Linked DNA regions of Cricetulus griseus. The protein of the gene in region 1 interacts with the protein of each later gene in a pairwise test. Links are inferred from orthologs where the notes say so. Each region holds a gene or a part of one and is shown in the gene's direction. Other genes may lie near its edges.

Region 1 (4,693 bases):
ACACACACACTCATATATATATATATATATATATATATATATATATATATATACATATACATATATATCCCTAAAAACATAAATATAACATGCTCAGTCCATATGATGTTACTAGCATGCTTATAATTTGGGAGCACATCCCTTTTGACAGGCCCATCAACAGCTCATCAATTGCAGAATAGACTCAGTTTCCTCTGATTACCAGGTCACTGTAATTGGTCCCCTTGTTTGGCAGGTAAGGAGACTGGGGATTACAAGAGCCTGTGAGTTTGGCAGATAATATGCGTGATTAAGAGTTGAATTTCATGATCAAATTTCTTCCTCAAATCACACCCTCTGTGTGTCACTAAGGACTTGGTGAATGGATAGATAGCCAATCATCTTCCACTATTTCAATCAAGTCTACTGCTTTCTCTTTATTTAATTAGAAGAACATCACATCGATTATAAGCAAATACTTTTTTGTAACCCATCACCCTCTAGGAGTGTCTTGGTAGTCACCAGAATTATTTAACTGTCATAGGGATGAAGAGAAAGCATTGTCACCCAGGTGCTGTTCCCATTATTCCCAGAGGAGGTTTACCCATGCTTCCTCATGGTTTGATAAGGAGATAAGGCTTGGTGGAAATTTAGTGAAAGTTGGGATTAAAGGGTTCACAGTCAGTATTTGAAGGCTCCAGTAACTGAATCCTGGTCAACTGACTCTCAAATAAGCCCTTTAATATTATCCTAGCCTAATCCAGAAGCTACAGGGAATGAATGAACCTAGAATGTAGTAAATGGCATATAATACTCTTTTTTCAATTCTTGTCACATATGCTAATTAATCAATAAGTAACACCCCTGAATACATGCTTCTTCTAGATTAATGTGGAAAGGTCCTAGATATTTTTCAATGACAGAAGCCCCTTTCTAATTTTAAAACATTATAAGGAAGTTGCTTGTAAAGGCAAATTATTTCCTAAACAATATACCCAGCTCCTAAATGAACACTTACCTATGGAAACCTGACCTTCTGTCAGTTACCTCGTACTGTTAGGAGTGGACATTCTAAGAAAGCTTTCAACAGAAATTAACAGCAACTACAATGATAGAGCACCACCTCCCATTGCCAGAGGCGTTTTCTTTCTAAAGGGATGTGGGATTAATAGGCTGAAATTTTCCTTACTCTAAAAATAAATAAATGAATAAATAAATAAATAAACCTCTGTCCCCAACTCTCTTCTGTTTTCGTGTCCTCTGTGTACAAGTGCATTCTGACCATTACGCTTGGGTGGAAAGTTGAAAGACAGCTAACCAGCTACACCCAGCCAGAGCTCATGGGTGGAGGAGCAAAGTTCTAGGGCTGAGCTTTCCTTTCTCAGCGCCTGGCCATGCAGGCGCTCGTGGATATCTGCCCTGCTCGGCGCTGCGTCTGAAGATTCGCCTCAGCAGAACAGTTGAGTCTCCCATTTGGCTACCAACCCACCCGAGCTTTCTTCTCCTCCATCGCCACCTTCCTGCCTCCCCCACCTCCCCCTCCTTTCCGTCTTCCCTCTCCACCCCCGCCCCCAATCTCCTCCTCTTTTTCTCACTACAAGCGGTTGCTGATGCTGAAGCTGAGCGTCACTTCGGCTCCCACGGCAGACATGGCGACATTGACAGTGGTCCAGCCGCTTACTCTGGACAGAGGTAAGGGAGCGGCTGGTCCATCAGGCCACTGAGTCCGCACTGCTTTTCCCTTCCGCCCTGCCCAGTCCCACTGGGACAGCAGGATGCGCTCGGCCAGGGGCAGCTGGGCGAGGAGATCAGCCCAGGAGGCTTTCGCGCCTGGAGCAGGACACTTTCTCTCCTCGCCTGGTTCCTGCCGCTTCTTCTCATTGCGCTCGCCGGGGCGTGGATGCCTAGCCAGGGCTCCAATGCTCCAGCCGCCAGACCTAGTCCCTCGCTGGGTCGCCTCCCGGCCCCGGCTTTGTTGGAGAGGTTCTGTGGGAACCGCTGAGCGCTGGTGACTGGAGGCTGGAGAGGGGCAGAGAAAGCTCTCCCAGTCAGAGCAGCGAAGGGACTAGTGGGGAAGCCAGCTAACAACTGCCGGCCCAGAGACCCGGAGGGAGGAAGTTTGTCCCTGTGATGGAGACAGGCTCTATGCAGCTGCGGTGACTGGGAGATCGCCCCGGAGCGGTAGTGCATTTGGCAGGGTAGCTGGGTGCACCGCTGCTGGGCTGCCCAAGCCAGGGCGCTGCCCTCGGGCGAAAGGGCAGAGCGGAATCCGGTTAGCTTAGCTGGCTAGGGAACGCCACATCACGGAGGCGAGCTGGCTTGGCTTCAGCTCCCTGTCCGGAGCTGCTGCTTGGGTCGCTGGGTCTCGGTGCTCCCTTCGCCTGCAGTTCCAGGGCGGTAGCAACTCCTGTCTCCTGCTCCAAACCAACCTTTTTCTTTACCAGACAAGTGCACCTCCGTGCCTGGGCTGCAGACAGAACAGGGACAAAGCGCAGGCTGGGTAACAGTTTAAGTTCTATCCTGTGACCTGTGCGTCCTACTCTTTGGCTGCATGGGAAACAGCCAGCGTTTGCTACCTCCTCAAACCTTCCCAAGCCTGGATACTGGTTTCTCCTCTAGGATCTGGGCCTGCCTAGTGCACCCAAATGGTTCCTGTGAGTAGGAGTTTCCTTTCTCCCTTCCCACGTCCAGGTACTAGGGCTCCAGAGTCCCTGCTCTGCAGAAAGAGGGCACCTCTAGCTCCTGTCCTCAGCCGCAGGGCTTAGGACCCTGGGCAGACATTTGAAAATGCTGTGCTCAGAAGAAAATGATTTAGTCCTTGTCCCTCTAAAATTTCTCTTTCGGGGGGATTAAACTAGCAGGGCCCAGCAAGGCAAAAAAAGCATCCTGCTGGGGAGCATAGTGGCAAAGCTGGTAAACTCTGTTTGTGGTTCTTAATTTGGAGAGATCTTTGGTGACTTTAACTCAATCTGCTAGTGCCAGAACAGATATTATGTGGTGCCCATAGCAACCTTACCTGGGGTAAGAGAAGAAAAATAACTGATTTTTATATTGAGAAATGTTCATTTACAAACTCGCAAATTAGTAACAGTAAAAAGCTCAGAAACCTGTCATATAATCTATGGTTTTACCCCCAATATCATCCGTACTAAGCAGGATAATTCCATTGCTGATAAGAGCCAAGCAGATGGCAAGCTATTAAAAACGATGGGCTTCCCAAGTATTTCTGTTTTAATGTGATGAGCTCTTATATTGTCCCATTACTAAATTACTGTCATCAACCATCCCAAGTTTAACTCTGTTAAACATCCCAAGTTCTAACTACGTTAGAAAAGCAATCACTCCAAGAAGACCACATAACCAAGGAAGTTTATATCCCACTACGGCTATTTCTAATACAATTATCACACTTCGGGAAACAGGGTATCTTATCCTTTAGGTGCCCCAGCCAATTGTTAGAGGAGGTATTAAGCAGACAGAGATGAAAAGCACATTCTTGTTTCTATTCAGATGGTACATGGCAGTACTCCAGACAGTAACCCAGGAAGCAAAGCTAGGTTAACTATGTGAATATCTGAATTAATGAACCCTCTACCCTTACTGGCTTGGGCTGCTTGATGAGTGAGAAGACTATCAATAAAGTACCTTCCCTCTACTTCATTGTGATGGTACCTTAGTATGATCCAGTAGGTAATTTTATGATTCAAATTGATGGAATGTGGAATTCTAAACTTTGCCCTTGAAAAGGGCTTAACTCAGTTGGTCATTAGGAATTTGGGGTTGATGATTCAATATTGTGCAGTTTTACCCTAACTTAGGTTCCCGTGTTTGGCCACCTACTGGAGAGTAGATCACACCAAGCTCCAGGGTCCCATTTGGTACACTATAGATTTGCCCTCCCAAAGCCTTTATAAGTGGTTGCTACTTTTGTCTCCCCAATGGGTGTAGCTCCTTGAGAGATGAGGCGATTTCTGAACCTATCTTTGAATTCCTCATAGTCCCATATTTGTGGTGGGAATCTAAAATTAATGTAAATTAGTGTTAGTGAAGCAAAGCCTGAAGTAAACCAAGAACTATTGATTATAGGGATGTCATACCAAACCGAGATACAGCTGGTGTGAAATGCAGTCACAGCCCTGCAGAGCTAGCAAGGTTGGTAGAGCACACATAGGGAAGTTGTTAGGAACCTTTCCCCTGTTCACTCATGCATTTCTGTCAGCAACAGTTGCTTACTAAGGCTTTGCCTTTTATTGATTTTATTTTCAAGATCTGGTTTCTCTGAGTAGTCCTGACTGTCCTGGAAGTTGCTTTATAGAACAGGCTGGCCTTGAACTGGCAAATCTGCCTGCCTCAGCCTCCTGAGTGCTGGAATTAAAAATGTGTACCATCAGGCACCAGGCAGGATGTCAGCTGGTGAACAACACAGAAGAAGGAAATAAGACTCTTGTCAGGGACAACCAAGTATATCTCAGCAAATCGTAAGACACATGCTATGATTTTAGGGCTCCTGGTTCATTTCTAGTGTTTTCATTCATTCAAATATAAAACACAAAAGAAATGAAGAAAGATGGTTTGGTTTTAAGGCTATACCTCCTCTAAATAGTAGATTTAATTCTTGCTTAGTGTCCTACAACAGCATTATACAAATATACATACATACATAAGGCATGGGTGTGTGCACGCGCACGCGCGCGCGCGCGCACACACACACACA
Region 2 (4,441 bases), on another chromosome or scaffold:
GATGCGCTCTCCGTTCATTCCCTTGACTCTTCCCAAATCCCTGGGGCTCAGGTATTTGTTAAATGCCACTTCGATTATGACCCTGCCCGAGACAGCCTCATCCCCTGCAAGGAAGCAGGCCTTCGCTTCAACGCTGGGGACTTGCTCCAGATTGTAAACCAAGATGACGCCAATTGGTGGCAGGTGAGCCCTGGGCACTCCTACAGTGTCTCCAAGTACCGTAGTGCGGCAGAAGAGGCGGGGTGCCGGGAATGGCCCTCTTACCCAGGTAGGTCTTTGGCGTGTGCCGTTTCAGGCATGCCACGTAGAAGGGGGCAGTGCTGGTCTCATACCCAGCCAGTTGCTGGAGGAGAAGCGGAAAGCATTTGTGAAGCGGGACCTGGAGCTGACCCCGACCTCAGGTAGGAGCCCCCTTCCCCACCTCAGGCCCCAATTTAAGACCTGGCATGGCCCAGTTTGCTCACTCGCTTGTTTCCTTGTGGCCAGGGACCCTATGTGGCAGCCTTTCAGGAAAGAAAAAGAAGCGAATGATGTATTTGACTACCAAGAATGCAGGTGGGTATTAATTCCTGTCCAAGTTGTCTAATATGTCGTATCTCTCTCTTCCTCACAAGTGACCTGTGGGTCTACTCTGCCTCAGATACTGCCAGCCTCGTTCCTAGGCTTGCCCAATTCCTCTGTTTCCCAGGCCTCAAGCACACTTACCCTTAATGCATTCTGAGAGCCCCTTTCCTCCCCCACGGGGCAGCCTGGTGAACAGTGCCATCTCTCTGTGCCCAGAGTTTGACCGCCACGAGCTGCTCATTTATGAGGAGGTGGCCCGCATGCCCCCATTCCGCCGGAAAACCCTGGTGCTGATTGGCGCGCAGGGTGTGGGCCGGCGCAGCCTGAAAAACAAGCTCATTCTGTGGGATCCAGACCGCTACGGCACCACAGTGCCCTGTGAGTGGGGGCCAGGGAGCGGGAGGTGCGAGCGTGGATGGGAGAGGAGAACGGAGGGATGGTGGTGGAGGGTTGCTGAGCAGCACTGAGCAGAACTGAGCGAGCTTCTTCAGGGACACCAGGTCAAGGTGGTTCCTTTGGCGGGGAGAGCTGTGTGCGCCCTCTGTGGGTGAATAAGGGGAACTGCAGGCTCATGATTCGGTGAAAGGGGGCTGGCTTTATTTCAGGATTTCTCCTCTCAAGTTTTACTTGCAAAAAAGGGTTAAAAAAAAAAAAAAGTGAGTGTCTACCATGATGTCTGGCGAGACAGGTTTGAGCTGTGTGTGGCCTGTGGCAGACAGGGCTTCTAATCTAAGTGTTGGGACCACAGGAGGTGAAGGTGGTGATGGTTGCTGGAGGCAGGAGCAAGAACGCTAAGCCCAGATTTCTTGACCCTTGCAATGTGGCTTTGGGCTGCTCATCGCCCTCCCTGAGCCTCTGCTAGCATCAGTGTACATGGCATCGGGCAAGCTGTTCCCCGAAGGTCCTCCCAGACAAGTGTGTCGCGTGCATTGTGTGTGTGTGTGTGTGTGTGTGTGTGTGTGTGCGCGCGCGCGTATGCCCGTGGAGAAGGTGAGAATAGGTGTGTATGAAGACACGAGGTTCTGAGAAGACCGAGAGCAGGCTATGTTGTCTCCAGAGCTGAGTTCTTGCACCCCACACAGAACCCACATACCCATATCTGAGGTGGGGTGGCTGACTCACCGGTTATCCGTGCTTCCCCTCCAGACACATCCCGGAGGCCCAAGGACACAGAGAGGGAAGGGCAGGCGTACAGCTTTGTGTCTCGTGGGGAGATGGAGTCTGACATTCGCGCTGGGCGCTACCTGGAACATGGCGAGTATGAGGGCAACCTGTATGGCACACGTATCGACTCCATCCGGGGCGTGGTTGCCTCCGGCAAGGTGTGCGTGCTGGATGTCAACCCCCAGGTACTGTCTAGCCCTTCCCTTTCATGTTTGTCAGTGTCCTCTACCACACTCTGCTCCCCTCAGCAACCCCTGTATGTCTCCTAGGGTTCATGTACCCCTCGACTACTGCTAAGGACCCAGCCCTTTTCCAGATCCCCAGACCCCCCCACCCCTCCACCCCCCGCCCTAGCCTCCTTCAGTTAGTCTCCAGCCGCCTGCCCGCTACTTGTCATTCTCATGACCCAGGTCCCAGAACCCCAAGCACCCCAAGCACCCACTCTCAGGTGCCCACCCTGTCACCCCATATCCTTCCTGTTCCTAGCCCATATAAAGGTGTTCTCCCAGCCTACTCTTTCCCTGCAGGCGGTGAAGGTCCTGAGGACAGCCGAGTTTGTCCCTTATGTGGTATTCATTGAGGCCCCTGACTTTGAGACCCTGCGAGCCATGAACCGGGCTGCACTGGAGAGCGGAGTGTCCACTAAACAGCTGACGGTGAGTGGATCTGAGTAGCGGTGGGAGGGCTGGGTGGTTGCCTGGGGTGGTGGAGCCCAGAGAGTCAGTGATTTGTGTATCTGAAGAGAGGAAGGCCTGAGAGAGGAATGCAGTGCCCTGCCTCTCAGACAGAGCCAGGGACACAGAACTTTGACTCTAGGCCTACTACGCATGGCCAGTAGAAGATCTGCAGGACAGGGATGGCCAGCGGAAGCTTCTAGAGGAAACTTGAATGTTGGCACAGCATTCCCCCAGGAGTAGGGTTTGCCCAGCTCTGAGCTCAAGGCTCCCCCTGCCCCACTCTTGTTACTACAGCTCCTCTGCTCCACAGAGGTGGTCTAGGTTGGGCTTGCATCCTCTGATGTCAACTCTGGGTGCCATGGCCCTGGCAACAGATGCACCCAGAGCCTCTGGGACATGGCTGCCCTCAGATGTCCATTATGCCTGATGTCCACTTCCTTCCCAGCAAGCCTCCTTTAGGTCTGGGGTGGGAATTAGTTTGTTCATTTGTGGCATCATCCTGGTACCAGGTAAGTTCTGATGCCACCTCAAAGCTATAGCAAGGGACTTGGTCAGACTAAAGGATGCACTGGCAGGAGTCAGGCAGATCCCCGAGCCATCGGCTCACTGTGACCTCTTTGTATGGGAGCTTTGTGTTATTATTGGAGCTGTAGTGAAGAACCCATGGGTGGCTTAACGGTTAGTGCTCTATGTGTTACAGCATCTTTTCCTCCCTCCTTCCCTCCTTCCCTCCTTCCTTCCTTCTTTCCTTCCTTCCTCCCATCCGTCCATCCATCCATCCATCCTGGCTGGGTGCAGAAGCACAGCCTTGTGAGGCACAAGGGAATCTCTACTCTGTGGCTGGGCTTTGGGGGTGAGGTAGGCAGGTTGTAGATTTCTCTAGTGATGGAATCAAGCTGGAGACACTGACTGAAGCCCCTTGTGCCGAACAGGAGGCAGATCTGAGACGGACAGTGGAAGAGAGCAGCCGAATCCAGAGGGGATATGGCCACTACTTCGACCTCAGCCTGGTCAACAGCAACCTCGAGAGGACCTTCCGTGAGCTCCAGGCTGCCATGGAGAAGCTTCGAACAGAGCCCCAGTGGGTGCCCGTCAGCTGGGTGTACTGAGCCTCGTTCCCTGCCTGGTGGGGAATCCATCCTTCACCCCACCTGTGACACTCCCCTACCCTGATAACGATCTTCACCCCCCATCTCTGGTTTTCCCTGGATCTCAGTTCCCAGCAGGCTTCAGTACAGAGGTGTGCACTGCCAGGGAGGTAGGTGTTCATAGGGTACCTCTGTACCCAGGTGCTGCCCACTCCCGATGTCCACTGGCCACCAGACATCCCTCTGTATGGACCATGCTGTGTCCAGGAACAGCTCAGAATCACTCCTGTAATGCTCAGACCAGGGATGAGCAGAGCTGCTGGGGCCTTGTGGTCAGTAGGTCTAGGACCCTGCCAGCCTTTTCTCCTCTGGGCTGGCCACACCCACCCTGTTCCCTGGCTCCTCTCACTCCTTACTATAGTCCTTGGAACAGCTGTGGGCTGTTCTCATGTGGCCAGGTACTAAGACACTGGTAGCTGGGCAGACCTGGGCAGTAGTGTTAGTCTGGACCATTTTAGATGCTGGGGGAGCCCCGTCGAGAGCCAGTTGTTGTAGCTGGTGACCGGTCTCAGCTCCTCGGAGCAAACATAGCCTGGTCCCTCCCTTATTCCTAGCTTCTCACTGCCAAAGTCTCTCCACAGACTTTCTTAATGTGTCCCTCTTTTATAAGCCCTGCTCCCCAAACAGTGCAACTGGCAGTGGCAGTAGGCTTAGCCCCAGGTTGGGAATAAGGCCCAGAGCGCTGAACCCTTCGTTGCTGGAACCAAAAGTATTCCAGGCTCCACAGCCCACACCAGACTTTGTTCCCTTCAAGCTTTTCTCTAGATAGATCTAGGTGGCCTCCTGGCATTAGGGCTGACCTCATTGGGCCTGAGGAGGGGGTGGGGAGACTGGAAGTCTGGGCTTGGAAACAGACAGATTAGCTTTAGCAGCACTTGCCACACAACT
Region 3 (4,067 bases), on another chromosome or scaffold:
TTTTATCTTTAATTCATGGGTTATTTAGAAATGTTAATTTTCACCTATTTGGTGATTTTAAAGAATACATTACTGAAGTACAGTTCCATCATTACCAGAGAATGGATCCCAAGGGATGTTAATCTTTTGAAATGTATTGAATTTTCTTTTATGGTCCACCACCCACTCTTAATGTCCATGCACACTTGTAAAAGTGTCTGCTCGGCTCTTGTTGGCTAGAGGGCGGTATATTTCACTTACATTTGTATGTATGTATTTTCTATGTATGCGTGTTATCTTCCAGACAGGGTCTCATGGTGAAGCCCTTGGTGACTTGAAACTATGTAGACCAGTCTTGTGTTACTTTATCACATGATATAACTAGTAGGTAAACACCAATCTTAGTAGTAACGGTGTTACTTACCATTAGTGAGTGCCTTGTACTCTTGGTTGTGGAATCTATCCTAGATTTGGGGAGGGGACTTTAAGAGTAGATGATATGAAGTGATAGATGACAGGTTTTGATGAGAAGTTAATTTTTTTAGTTCATAAAATTTTTAGGCAAAACATTTTATCTAATCATGGTCTATAATTTGAACAAGAAATTCAGATATAATGTAGTAAATGCTGTAAAAGATGAAGTAATGCTTTAGTTTGTTAACAACTAATCTCAAACTTTGAATACACAAGTTTTATAAAAATGTCATAGTGTTGTGTTATGATGATAAAGTCTGCTGTGAACAAAGCATCTTGGGTACCCAATCACAGCATTTCAAAATGGAAATCAGATGTGGAAGAGTTGCCATGATTTTACTGTTTCCTGTTACAGTTAAGTGGAAGTCATTTTGTGGGCCCAATACAGTGATGTGTGACTTCAACATTTGGCCTGAAGTTTATTAGCCATCTTGTCTGATAAGTGTGGTTTGGGGTAGTTTTCATTTCTTGACCGTGAGCCTGATTATTATAGGATTCTGGATAATTTTTGCTGATAGCCTTGTCACTGGCTTGTTTCCATTAAATATCATTTCCTTTACTCAGCATTTTAAAGTAGCCCATTTTATATTATTCCCCAGACTCTGGTGGGATACTCTTGCATCTTAAACTGTCCTTTGTAGGGCCAGTCTTGACATCACACACCTTTAATACTAGCACTCAGGAGGCAAAGGTAAGTGGATGTCTGTGAGTTCCATACCCGCCTAGTCTGCATAGGAAATTTTAGGATAACCAGACCATGTAGAGAAACACTGCATCAGAAAAAGGAAAAGAAAAAAAGTTAAGGACAGTTTTCCTTAGGAGAGCCCAGAGTGGTGGTATACACTTGTTATCCCGCACTAGATGTAGCAAAGAGTTCAAGGCCAGCCTGGGGATACACAGCCAGATCCTGTCTCAGAAAGAAAAGAAAAAAGTATCTTTTGTACATTGAAAACTGAGTTTTAAAGTGTATTAAGTGGAATACCTCCCCCAGTGTTATTAGATTTTCTTAGCAAAAGATAACTCAATATATTAATATTTTTCTTCTCCCATAATGTTAATTCTACCTAAATTTGCCACACACATAAAGGCATTTTTGTTGTTGTCTTTGAGAAAAGGTCTCACTCTTTAGCCCTGGGTGGTTTGGAACTATGTAGACCAGGCTGCCCTCAAACGCACCCTTCTCTGCTCCATAATGCTGAGATTAAAGGTGTGTGCCAGCAAGCCCAGCAGAAGCAAGTGCTCGAGTAAAGAATGTTTTAGAGCACTTACTCTAGTCTTAAAGTTGGACTCCATATTATACACGTTGTTGCTATTTTTTTTAAAGATTTATTATTTTTTACGTGTATGGGTGTTTTGCCTGCATTTATGTCTGTATCGGATGCCTATGGTCCCCTACGAGGTCAGAAGGGACAACAGAGCTACCCATGGTTTTGAAATGTCATATGAGACCTGAGTCTGGGTCCTCTGCAGGAACAAGTAGTGCTCTTAACTGTTGAACCATCTCTCCAGCCGCCAATGTTACTTTTGGATACAGGTTATTATGTCATAAAATGTTTGAAAATGAACATGTTTAGGGAATTCAGAGTAATCGCCCATGTTCTTCAAACCTAAAAATGGAAATACATGAAGTGATATAAACCAGGATTCAAACAGGAATTCTAAAGTACTGATGCCAAGGTGGCCCAGGCAGCTCTTGGGTCTACCACAGACAAAAGGAAAGCCATGTAGTGACACTCCTGACTCATTCTGTATTCTGTATGACCTCACAGTTTTTATTTTTTTCATTGCAGCCTGAAGAGTTAAGGGAGATCATTGAGAAGACTAGAGAGATGGAACAAAACAATGGCCACTACTTTGACACTGCAATTGTGAATTCAGATCTTGATAAAGCCTATCAAGAATTGCTTAGGCTCATTAACAAACTGGACACTGAACCTCAGTGGGTGCCATCTACTTGGCTAAGGTGAAGGAAACAGCTGTTTTATCCCATGTCATCATGTTGAACTTTATTTGGCAAACCACCAACAGGAAGATGGCCTCAATGCTGAGAATAAGGTTGAAGGAGGCAGAATAAGCAGCTCACCTATTTGTAGATCCCAAACTAGTGAGAAAGGTCCCTTAGGAGGTTTGTATACAAAACTTGTTTTCTGGGCATGGCTTTAGGGATCCTTGGCTTGTTTGGAGATTTAAAATGGGAACTTTCTTCAGAGCATTTCTGATTTATCCTGGAGAAACCTTTTGTTTTCACCTTCCCAACTCTTTGCCTCTCAGTCAGATGTCAATGAAAAAACATGTATGTATATACATAATACTCCATGTCTCACAGAGTTATAAATATTAACATTATTTAACACTTAAATGACTTTGTGCGATTATTGGGAGAAGGGGCTGTGCTTCTGTGCACTGGGAATAACAGTATTTTCTTAAACAATTGATTTAGTTTTCTTGGGAAAAAAGTGCCGCTTTAGTTTGGAAGTGACTTTTTTAAAGTGTAAATTTGTATGTCTTTTCATTCTGAAAAAACATTCCATCAGAAGTTCCAACTTTGCTGGGCCTGGCAGGGCATGCCTTTAAATCCCAGCATTCAGGAGGCAGAGGCAGGTGGACCTCTGAGTTGTAGTACCACCAGGGTTACACAGAGAAACCCTGTCTTAAAAAAATAAAAATAAAAAAAAGAACCAACTTTTTAGTTCGGACTTCATGGATGAGAATGCCCTCAGCAGCCTCTAGTGTGGTTAAAAGTGTACAAAAGATGCTGACATTTTTAAAGATAGAATTTTCTAATTCTTTTAGTAAATTGTGATAGTATGAACTGTGTTGACTTTTGAAATTTCTTCCTTGTGATGGAAATAGTTTTTATTTCCATGGAAAGATGACCACATTTGACAGTTTCTGCATTTTTTAATCAGAGTACAGAATTTTATCTATGACTGCTACGTATGTAAGTATCAAACTGGAAATCTGCTGTACTGTATACTGATATTTAATAGACTAATAAATAGCTGTCTTCAGCATTGGAACAAATTTCTATACACATATACACTGAGGGAATACCATGACAATCAACTTTAAGATCAGAAGGAAGACTTAAGAGTCATTGAGCATTTAGAAAATGACAATGGAGGAAAGTTTATTTAAGCATCTACAGACAAGTTTTTGTCCTAACATGGTCTACCTTGGGACCGGAGTACAACAGCTTGCTAAATCTTAAATGTTGGCACTAATACAATTTTTGTACCGTTTCTACAACTACAGCTTTAAATGCAGAGTCTACAAGTCTGCATGCAAGTTAACTTGTAGTCTTTTCAAGCCTTTAAGGAAACTGTAATGTGTAACAACGAACCTCAAATGTGAATGTCTTGATCTTAATTAGCTACAGCATTTCATGTTCCCAAAGCTAAACACTGGAATGATACTGAATTGTGACTTAGCATAAGCAGCTGTTAATGTCTTGTCAGTGACGTTTATGTGTCTGATTTCTCTTCTAGATAATCTTACTGAAACAAATTAGAGTTTGTGATATCTTTTTATGTTCAGTTTTTGCATGGCTTTTGTAGTTGGCTGGCAAGTGTGTCTATTTAGAAACATTTTAAAAACAATTTTCCTTAGGAAAA

Evidence for each region.
Region 2: the proteins of Lin7a (region 1) and Mpp2 interact in binary tests that used the Homo sapiens proteins (3 or more experiments, as listed by UniProt). The two-hybrid records come from large-scale screens. The link is inferred for Cricetulus griseus from reciprocal best matches to the Homo sapiens genes LIN7A and MPP2.
Region 3: the proteins of Lin7a (region 1) and Mpp5 interact in binary tests that used the Homo sapiens proteins (3 or more experiments, as listed by UniProt). The two-hybrid records come from large-scale screens. The link is inferred for Cricetulus griseus from reciprocal best matches to the Homo sapiens genes LIN7A and PALS1.

What each region holds. Positions count from the first base shown.
Region 1 is NW_023276806.1:147,813,498-147,818,190, reverse strand, and holds the start of Lin7a (protein lin-7 homolog A), read left to right. Parts: upstream 1-1,589; coding exon 1,590-1,671; intron 1,672-4,693. UniProt on the Homo sapiens protein: Plays a role in establishing and maintaining the asymmetric distribution of channels and receptors at the plasma membrane of polarized cells.
Region 2 is NC_048600.1:116,034,511-116,038,951, forward strand, and holds the end of Mpp2 (MAGUK p55 subfamily member 2), read left to right. Parts: coding exon of another isoform or gene 1-51; coding exon 52-183; intron 184-295; coding exon 296-401; intron 402-486; coding exon 487-555; intron 556-780; coding exon 781-942; intron 943-1,710; coding exon 1,711-1,913; intron 1,914-2,255; coding exon 2,256-2,384; intron 2,385-3,337; coding exon 3,338-3,514; downstream 3,515-4,441. UniProt on the Homo sapiens protein: Postsynaptic MAGUK scaffold protein that links CADM1 cell adhesion molecules to core components of the postsynaptic density. In CA1 pyramidal neurons, required for synaptic KCNN2-containing channel function and long-term potentiation expression.
Region 3 is NC_048598.1:124,804,092-124,808,158, reverse strand, and holds part of Mpp5 (MAGUK p55 subfamily member 5), read left to right. Parts: intron 1-2,243; coding exon 2,244-2,420; 3' UTR 2,421-4,067. UniProt on the Homo sapiens protein: Plays a role in tight junction biogenesis and in the establishment of cell polarity in epithelial cells.